Linked DNA regions of Caenorhabditis elegans. The protein of the gene in region 2 purifies or fractionates together with the protein of the main gene of each other region. This does not show direct contact. Each region holds a gene or a part of one and is shown on either strand. Other genes may lie near its edges. The genes, in order: gid-7 and C04B4.4.

Evidence for each region.
Region 1: the proteins of C04B4.4 (region 2) and gid-7 fractionate together in Caenorhabditis elegans (co-fractionation; one large-scale study listed by BioGRID). This does not show direct contact.

What each region holds. Positions count from the first base shown.
Region 1 is NC_003283.11:3,753,980-3,758,928, forward strand, and holds the start of gid-7 (CTLH domain-containing protein), read right to left. Parts: upstream 3,096-4,949; 5' UTR 2,820-3,095; intron 1,819-2,819; 5' UTR 1,818-1,818; coding exon 1,737-1,817; intron 1,493-1,736; coding exon 1,362-1,492; intron 988-1,361; coding exon 777-987; intron 543-776; coding exon 412-542; intron 359-411; coding exon 258-358; intron 1-257. Other genes in the region: Serine/threonine-protein kinase chk-1, read right to left, coding at 3,339-3,755, 3,960-4,122, 4,291-4,524, 4,722-4,935.
Region 2 is NC_003284.9:12,288,739-12,293,920, reverse strand, and holds C04B4.4 (Anaphase-promoting complex subunit 1), read right to left. Parts: upstream 3,083-5,182; coding exon 3,076-3,082; intron 2,423-3,075; coding exon 2,205-2,422; intron 2,090-2,204; coding exon 1,830-2,089; intron 1,775-1,829; coding exon 1,636-1,774; intron 1,589-1,635; coding exon 883-1,588; intron 794-882; coding exon 654-793; 3' UTR 522-653; downstream 1-521.

The DNA.
Region 1 (4,949 bases), on a different chromosome or scaffold from region 2:
GGAGAATGCGTTTTGCACAACATATTTGACGCGCAAAATATCTCGTAGCGAAAACTACAGTAATTCTTACTGTAGCGCTTGTGTCAATTTACGGGCTCGATTCTCGAAACTGATTAAGGCCCGTAAATCGACACCAGTGCGCTACAGTAGTCATTTAAAGAATTACTGTAGTTTTCGCTACGAGATATTTTGCGCGTCAAATGTGTTGTGCAATACGCAGAGCTCTCAGAATTTTGTGTCCTCAAAAAATCAATTACCTTTATTCAAAATAGTCTTCAATCGATTTTGCGGCAAAATAAAGTCGGATGGAAGAATTTCCTCGAGAAACGCCAACTGGGACTGCCTCTCGGCAACTTGGCTGAAAATTTTCCAATTATTTAGAAAATCGAGTTTTAAAATAAAAATTCTCACTCAATATTCTGATATCGGCAATTTCCGAGCAGGACGTCTTTGAAAAAAGTGTCAAAATAATCAAAATGCTCGGAATGATCAAGTATGACGCCTCGTATCATTTTCTGCATTGTGAACAGAGCGTCAAAGTACTGAAATTGAAAATATTTTGGACACACGATGCACCATGTCACGTGGTGTCAAAGTCCCTCAATTCGGCTTGATCTACGTAGATCTACAAAAAATGCGGGAAAAGAGACGCAGAGTTTTCAACTGATTCCGCATGGTTAAGAACGTGCTGACGCCACATTTTTTGGGCAGAAAATTCCCGCATTTTTTGTAGATCAAACCGTACTCTGACACCATGTGCCAAGTCTAGCACGAACCCTTCCTTTCCGAACTAGGTCAGCTAGTTTGAAGCATTTAACAATATATGATCCATGCTTTGCGGTCTCCTCAGTAATGTGATCATTTGAAGTTTCGAGAATTTGAATCGCCGCGTCGTAGTTTCCTTTGAGAATGTTCGCACGGACTCTGGCACCCGACGTTGTTTCAATTGTGAAGCCCGTCTCTTCAACGAGAGTTTCAACAGAGCTTCTGAAAAAATGGGTCAAAAATACGGTAGCCGGTCTCGACACGACATTTTTTGTTTATTGAAAAAAGACATGCGCCTTAAAATTTCGTAATTTCAAAATTCCAAAATTCCACGTGGTGCGAGGCTGTCCCGTTACGGTTTGGTCTACAAAAAATGCGGGATTTTTTGCCCAAAAAAATGTGATGTCAGCACGGTATTAATCATGCGAAATCAGTTGAGAACTCTGCGTCAAGCCGAAATGAGACACTCTGACACCACGTGTGCTTTTTTTACAAAAAACTCTGAAAAATCGATAAAGAAACTTTAAAGGCGCACACCCGTTTTCATTCAACATAAAAAATGTCGTGCCGAGACCCGAAACTGGTCAAAAACTTACGTCAAGCCGATATTATCCAAAAATTGTGCAATAATTCGAATTGTTGCTTTATCATATTTTCCCAACGCGATTTCCTTTCGAATCACCGACTCGGTTTCTTCGGGATCATCTTGAGATCTGGGGGATAGTTGCTGGAAAAAGTGAATTTTTTTGTTGCATTTCAATCGCGGAACATGATGTCAAAAAGTATCATTTCGGCTTGATCTACGTAGATCTACAAAAAATGCGGGAGTTGAGACGCATATTTCTCAACTGATTTCGCATGGTTAAGAACGTGCTGACGTCACATTTTTTGGGGCAAAAAATTCCCGCATTTTTTGTAGATCAAACCATAACGGGACAACCTGACACCACGTGTCGCTGTGAGACCCTTACCGCATGATTCTGCAATCTTTGTGCTACAGACATCTTCTTACCCTTACGACCAACATCGTCAAGTTGCTCGTCGACAGTCATTCTGGAATTTTTTTTTGAAATTTTTGCCAATTTTCGCGCGCCAAGAATACGGTAGCTGGTCTCGACGCGACAATGTTTTGTTTATTGTCAAAAGGTATGCGCCTTTAAAGAGTACTGTAGTCTAAAACTTTAGGTGCCGCGGAATTTTCGATTTGCAAAAATTGATATGTTTGCAATCGTAAAAACTACAAAAAATCGATTGAAATTGAAGGTTTTGTTATCGTAATTTCGCTAGAAGTCGACATGTCCGCTTAAAGGCACCCAGATTTATTCAGATGGGTCTCGGCGCGAAAAGAGTTTTTTAAAAGTTTTTTTTTTTGCGTTTATCAATGAAATTTCTTGGTTTTTAGCGAGTTTTGTCGTTTTTTTTTTAAATTTTCGTAAAATGTTTAGACAAATTTCATAAGTGCTTTTCCTGCTTGTCGGCTTTAACAGAAAAATGAAAGAAAACGCAAAAACTCCAAAAAATTTTTTTTTCGCGCCGAGACCCATCTGAGTGAATCGATGCGCCTTTAAGAATGAATGACAAAATCTTGTGGCATTACAATAAATACAAATGAGTGTGCGCCTTTAAGGAGTACTGTAGCGCTTGTATCGATTTACGGGCCTGAATCAGTTTCGAGAATCGAGCCCGTAAATCGACACACGCGCTACAGTAGTCATATAAAGAATTACTGTAGTTTTCGCTACGAGATATTTTGCGCGTTAAATATGTTGCGCAGTACGCATTCTCAGCATTTTGTGTTCCCGTAATATCGATTTCTCTCAATTGTTCTCATCATTTGTTAAATTTTGGTGTTTAAAAAAAGAATTTAAATACGAAATTTTATCGGAAAACTAAGAAAAATCGATAAGAAAATTCCGTAACCACAGAAGTTTGAAATTACAGTACTCTTTAAAGGCGCACACACACTTTTGCATTAATTTTATAGAAATTTGTCGTGTTGAGACCTGGTACAGTATCGCAAAATCGTCATATTTAGCTTTTTTTAAATTGCAAACCTCTGTCGCTTGGCCGGGACAACGGCTGGCTCGTCAGCCTCTTCTCCGATGGGTTTCCGAACCACTTTGAGTTGTTAAGTGGGAACGACGCGCCACTGATATTTTGAAAACTACAAAAACGAATTCCAGATTTTCCAGTTGAGACCTAATGACAGTAGGGGGTAGAAAAATTCATAAGAATATATTCGTGCGTATTATTTAGTAAGAATTGTCTTGTCTGCTGCAGACACTCTCTCAGCTGACGACTATCGAACGGAGGCGAGGGGCAGCGAGATATTGTGCAAAAGTGAGAGAGGGAAAAGAGAAAGAGGAGGAATGATGAGGCAGTGGGGACAAACTCTAGACGCAGAGATAAAAACAAACATTCATTCACAGGCTTGTAATTCGGCGTTAATTCACGTTAAATTTAAAAATTAATGGGATAGGGAGATGTTTAAAGTGATGATGATGATGATAAATATTGTGCTTTAAATCTCAATAGTCTGATGGAACAAAAAACGAACAAACAAAAAAAAACAATTAGACATCCACATTGATCGAGGACGCCGAGTGCTCCACATTGACTCCACCACCATTAACTATCTGCGGATTTCTTGGCACATATCCAAGATTGGCGAGCCAGTTGTTTCCGTCGGTACATATCCACTCATGCATACGGTTTCTAACGTCCATGAACATCTTCTTAAACTGGATTCCGTCACCGCGAGACCTGCGGAAATCTACCATGACACGTGGCTTGTCGGGAATATCGCCCATCGTGTACAGACTGACCATCATCGAAACCTCGCGCCACGTGACTAGTAGACGGTAGTCGTCAGTCTCACGAACGCCGAAGCCGGCGTGCTCACTGGCTCGAGCCACTTTTTGGTACGTGGAACGGATGTCGGTGACGACGCAGAAACGTGTCATACGGCACACCATTCGTTGGAGGAGATTCTGAAAATTTTAGGGGGATTTAAACTAAATTCTGGGTTTTTTAATCAAAAAAAAAAGTAAATTTAGCAAAAACCTCTAATTTTGCAACCATTTCCGTGTCATTAGCGAATTTTCATCCTAAAATTATCAAAAATGCCAATTTACGACCGAAAAATTGGAGATTTTAGCTAAAAATCCGCCAATTTCTGACGGTTTTTTCCTAACCGAGTTGGTCTGCGACATATCAATATGCTGAGTAAGCAGAAGATCCTCAGTCTTTGTCGGCTGGGAGAACGAAGCATTCTGTCTCTCCGCCAGAGTGCTCTTCTCGTTCGGAGTCTCCAAGTGACGACGTTTCGCGGAGCATTCGGCTTGTTGAGTGCATGTGCTGGAATATATTGAGCATTTTAACATGAAATTGTGATTTTTTTTTAAATTTAAATGGGGTTCTGGCCTTCCTCATTGCATTTTTCGCAACTAAAATCGAGCCGCGACGCGACACGCAACGCGCCGTAAATCTACACCAGATATGGCCGAAGCCATCTATTAAACTCACATATTCTCATCATTGTTGCGAGCGCGTTTCAGTGGCCGCCCGTTCGGTGTCTCGACTTGACCGAAATTGTGCTGATACCACGGATCCGCTTGGATCTGCTCGATTGTCGCGCGCTTGTCCGTCTTGTCGGTGACGATCTTACGAAGCATGCAGAGGGCTCGAACGTCGATCTTCTTCCACGGTCTCTCGTCGAGGCTCGTGTTGCTGATCCATCCCATGTAGGATTGAGAGGCGCTGAAAAAAAACATTCATTTCGTCAAAAATTAGCTAAAATCTCTGATTTTTGGTGTCTCAACGGTCGGAAAATAGTTTTTATTGTTTTTTCTCGTTTATACACATTTTTCGTTGAGAAATTGCCATTTTTAGCCGAAAAATGTGAAATAAACCATCAAAATATGCTAATTTCCGCCAAAAACGCGATGAAAACGCACTCGCTAGCCCGATCCCACGGAAGCTCCCCGGTGAGCATCGCAATGAGCACAATCCCAGACGACCAGACATCGACGGGCGGCCCACGGTACTTCTTTCCGGCGCAGAGCTCTGGAGCAGCGTACGGAATCGTCCCACAGCTCAAATCCAGCAGTCGCTCCTCTCCTTTGTTCCGATAAAGAGTTGCCATGCCGAAATCCGAGATTTTTAAGACATCTGGAAGATTAAAT
Region 2 (5,182 bases):
AGGCAAAAGTTGGATTGCGAAATCCAAAAAAAAAAAACGTGAGAACACCTTTTGCAAATAACCGCAACGCAACAAGAGAGTGCAGGGTGCCCGCCATGTTCTCAATGGAGCGCACATGAACCGACTTCAGAAGTTCGGCCGCGGCCGCGGCCATGACAATGATAATTATTTTACAGGAAAACAAAAAATGAGAGAGAAGGGGTTTTCAAGCAAAACACAAATGCGTCTAAAATATGTTTTTTTTTTCAGATTTTGTGCTCGACATAATAGTTCTGAAATAAAAAAAATAAAACAAAGTAGAATTTCACGGAAAATATGGATTTCATCAAAACATCAATTGTGTTTGTCAGAGACACTATAATGAGTGAATAATTTTCCCTCTTGCCCTTTGCCACCTTGATTGATTGATTTATTAACTTGAAAGTAAATGGAAACATAAATTCAATAGATGATTATTGTCAAGCAATTAATCAGTTTAGTTCTAAAATTGATTTTTACATTTGAAATCATAAGTCAACATTGCTGGTACAAATAATACATTTGAGGATCTCGTGGCATGTTTGAAAGGCCAAAAATTTGGAGATAATGAACAGGGAAAGTCTGACTGTAAATCAGGGATTGGAAGAAGCGTTTTTGTATAGAAATAAGAGCAATTATTTTCCTTGTCTAGTTGGAGAAGATAAACCGGGAAGTACATCGTTCACTTCAGATGTGGAACAGCTATCGAATGATCGAAAGTCTTCGGAATTTCCTATGGAGCTAATCGATGAGCGAACACGATAAACATCAGGATCTGAAAAAACAATTAATTAATAGATTACATAAATGGGCAGAGAAGTTTTCGAATACTGTCACATATATAGTGAATACATATGTACTTACTTGTATTTTTTGGTTGAACAGGTGATGCACGTCCTTCAGAGTTTTGATTAGCTATTGCGAATCGAGACTTTGGAGGATCATTCATGGAGAATCCTTTGAGGTCCAACATTTTGTTCGAAGTCATTTTGAGTGATTGCTTACTATTTTGCTTTGAGCGCGGAGCATTTTTAACCGGATACCAGTGTTGTGGATGCATAATGACTTCCCGTCTCTTTGAAATGGAGTTTGCCGACTCCAGCCGGGTAACATTATTAGTCGTGTTTTCCATGAATCTGATTTTAGGCGATCCATTTTTACTGAGTTGGGATTTTTGATCAGGCCCCGTCTGTTCAAGTCCATTTGAGAAAACTTTTGAGTTCAGCGACGTCATCGACAGTTCCACCGGGAAAGAAGAGGTCATTGGGCATTGATGCTGTCCTGATGCTTTTTCTAGTACTTTTATTCCTTTTGTGAATGCCTCATAATTAATATATGGCAAGTTTCTCGAAGCTGAGACATACTTGTGGCATGGAAATACTGCAAAGAGCCAGGTATGCGAATTGAGAAATCCTACAAATGAATTGAGATCGCTTCCAGTTCTCTGCCGGAATGACTGAGGCATATAATCACTCTGGAAGAGTTGGAATGTGTTTTCAATGGTAGTGACACCACCGTTACGAAGAACGAAGGAAACGAGAATGAATATTGCATCATATACATCTGGTCTCTGAAATTAAAATTTTTGAAACATTAAAATAAAAATTGATGACAAACTTGAAGCTTGACAACATCGTTCCATCCTATTTGAAACCAGTGAGTCCGACATTCAATGAACTTTCGACGTTTTGCATCCGAAGATCCCAAATATTCATTGAGAAAATGATCATTGAATTTGGCCAACTCCTTCAGGATCCTGTCAAAAAATAATTCGTTTTGAATCGACTCCGGTCGTTCAAAAAAGAAAATACCTGCTCATTGATAAGGAGAAAGTACCATGTTCCAGGAAGATTACAAAAAGTCTCAGAAAAGCAATGCATTCTTTTTCCAATAAATAATGATATTCTGGAGCAACAACGAACACCTCCTTTCTTCTGTAGAAGATAAGCTCTGATGCAGGTCCGCAAACCGGGCCAATATTCGTTGCAATAAACGTGTTGTCCAGTTGTCGGATAATAAAAAACTTTAGAACACACCCAACACGCAGAACTGTTGTCAAATCAGTCACACCCTGAAAGAAACGAATGGCATTTGTGTTTTTAGAATCTTACATTTAATTTTTTTTGGTTTTTACTTGTATAAAACATTCCTTAAAACGTGCAAAAGATGGTACGGAAAAAACTTACATTCATGCGTAAATCCACAATTGCAAATGAGCACATTTCACCATCGACAGTTTGAATAACTCCTCTTTCAGGACTGAGAAAAACAATTTTGCCAAAGTCGTTGATGGGAATGTCTACGGTATAATGTCCTGCACTACAAATCGTTTTAAGAACGTCATCGACGCTGAGTTGGCGCCTTCCGGACCTCGACGTCCCGTCAGGTGTTATTGGAACGTTTACTGAATAATTAATATTTATCAAACCATCTTGTCATTTTCCTCTTTTTCTACCAAATGTTTCAGTTTTGAACTATCCTAGCTTATTCTATCACAGTTGCTTCACGCTTTCGATTACTTTTCTGGTTAAGAAAAATATGATTCTCGGGTAAAATTTTATTTTGGACCTATCATGAGAAAAACTTTCCACCTATTTTACCTGCGACTATTTTACTATTTTGACTATACCTTTGTGTAATAATAATAAAAGAAATATCTACTCTATTTGCGGGTGCAATAGCTGAAACTGTAGATCATGTCTGCACTATCGATCATGTGCTTTCACAGAAAATTAGTTTCTTTACTTATAGTTGATTCCAGCTCTCAGATGTTATTCAAAAATAGTACTGCAACGTTGCAAACTTTGAACGAAAAAAATCGAAAAAATTACAAACTAACACTTCAATAGCTTATATTTAAATTTATATATAACCCGTCTTAAAATTTTCAACATGGCGTCGGCAATTTCAAACGCTCAAAATCACAATTCTTACAATTATTCTTTTTTTGGTGTGTTATTTAGCCTAGCGACAATTTCAGATTAGTTTTGTGAAAACCACGCAAAAACTACGTTACATTAGCGAGAATATAGTTTCTAGTTTTAAGGCTACACTCACATGACATCTATAAAACTCGTGAAAATGGATAACCGGAGAACGGAGCCTGGAAAGAGATAGTGACAAGAACTGACAGTTAATCAGTAGCTCCTGCAAATGTGAAGAGTGGCTTCTGAAGTTTTAAACGTGTAAAAAAATGTTTGAGAAAAACTTGAGAACAGCGAAATTAGAAAAAGATAAACATTGATCAAAATTGAAATTAGAAAATACCGAAATCTGTTTTTTCATCCCGTTGATGACTAATACAACAAAGACAGTCTAAACCGTCGTTTTGAAATAAGGAAAATTCAGTGATTAGTTGATATGGCACAAAACATTATAATTGAAAAACGAATATTGAGCATTATTAAAATAAAATTAAAATTAACATTCTGTCAGACAAAAATTAGTCGTATGATTTCACTTCCTCCAACATAACATGACTTTTTTTTGCGTCAATTCTTGTGAGCATAAATTAATGTTCATATCGTGCACGCTAAGTACCGCATTTCTATAAGTTTTCAGCTTGATTTAACTTCTAAAGGAATGTAACAAAAATAAAGGCAAATAAATTTGCCAAAAAATTATCCGAACGTTTCGAAAATTACATCACCAGATTAGAAAAATTCATATTCTGAGATTTAAGATTCAGTGAAAGTTCACTCATGAGATCATATTCTCCAAGTCTATCAAAGTGAGTTCTTGAATCTGAAGTTTTTTTAAATATGAAAAATATTAATTAAAACAATATAAAAATTGAAAAGCTATCCCATATTGAATTTTAAAACTGAAATTAAATGATGTTAAAAAAATACGAGCGCGTACACAGAAACAAAAATCCAGCACGAATGACTACATGTGTTGAATTTGTTTCGAAATGAAGGCCATTCTTATTAAGCACATCTGGTTCCTCAAACTCTATGCAGACTTTTTGGGGCAGGGTGTGTGTTTAAGAAATCGCAGATATTTGTGAACTACGTTGCGATATATGGTGCTGTTTATGGTAATTGTAAAAATCGAGGGTTTGAGAGGTTTTAACAATCCATATTGTTCCTTGAATGATAACTACTGTACTTTGCCTATTAGTGTTGAAGTCCTTACCAGACTTGCACTCAAAATGACCATTTGAAAAATAAAATTGCATGCAATACTAAACTCTAGACTAATTGTATAAATGAGAAAACCTTAGTGCAACGAAAATTAAGCAAAATAATGCTGATCAACAGAGAAAAAAGAAGGTGAGAGCAGTCGTAAGCTTCCATAAATTATTCTACTGTATGATTTTTTTCTGTTTTCCGTTCTGCTCGTGATCTCTCTTTTTTCTATCTGTCCTAATCACCTAATGATTCATCAAAAGTGGTTGTCCTTCGAGGTGGAAAAAATGACACTATTTTTGTTTGTTCCTCCAATTCTTTTACTCGATTGCTAGAGAAGTGGGGTGGAGACACTTTTCGTCATAGGCCACGAGACACCGTATGCTTTTTTATAAACTTCGATGTGGCCAGAGTATTTTTCGGGATCTACGAAATAGCATAGCGGTAAGAAAATAGTTTGGTGTCATTTTTTTTAGTTAATCCTACAAGTTTCTATAGTCTTGAGGTCTCACATAATGTACAATCTAAAATTCCCTCAAACTGCATTAAACAGAACGAACGGTTCTGGGAGTTTTGAACGTAAAATTCCCAACATGTCCGCAAATGAACAAATATCAGAATGAAACTTCTTACTTCAAAAAAAAAAAACTTTTTACATTTGTGTCAAAATTCCAGAAAAGCACTAGAAAAACAGTATGTTGCTCTACAATTTGGTAATCTTATATATCTGTTGTGGAACAAAAATAGTGTTTTCATTTGTCGCAACATGCTCTCCATTTCCTTTTCCCTCTCATTTTCCACTTGTATTGTCCACAGTTCTACATGCACCTTTGCCCCACACTATCTGGCCATTTCACCATATGATTCATCCAAAATAGTCGGCCAATATTCTTCTAGAATTAGAAAAAAAACCCATTTTTTCTTTATTTCATTCTTTCTTTTCAATGGTAATTTAAGTGTTTTCAATGGTAATTTAAGTCACTCTTTGTTATTAGCTACAAAAACCGTTTCACTATTTCTGCTTCGTCGTTACT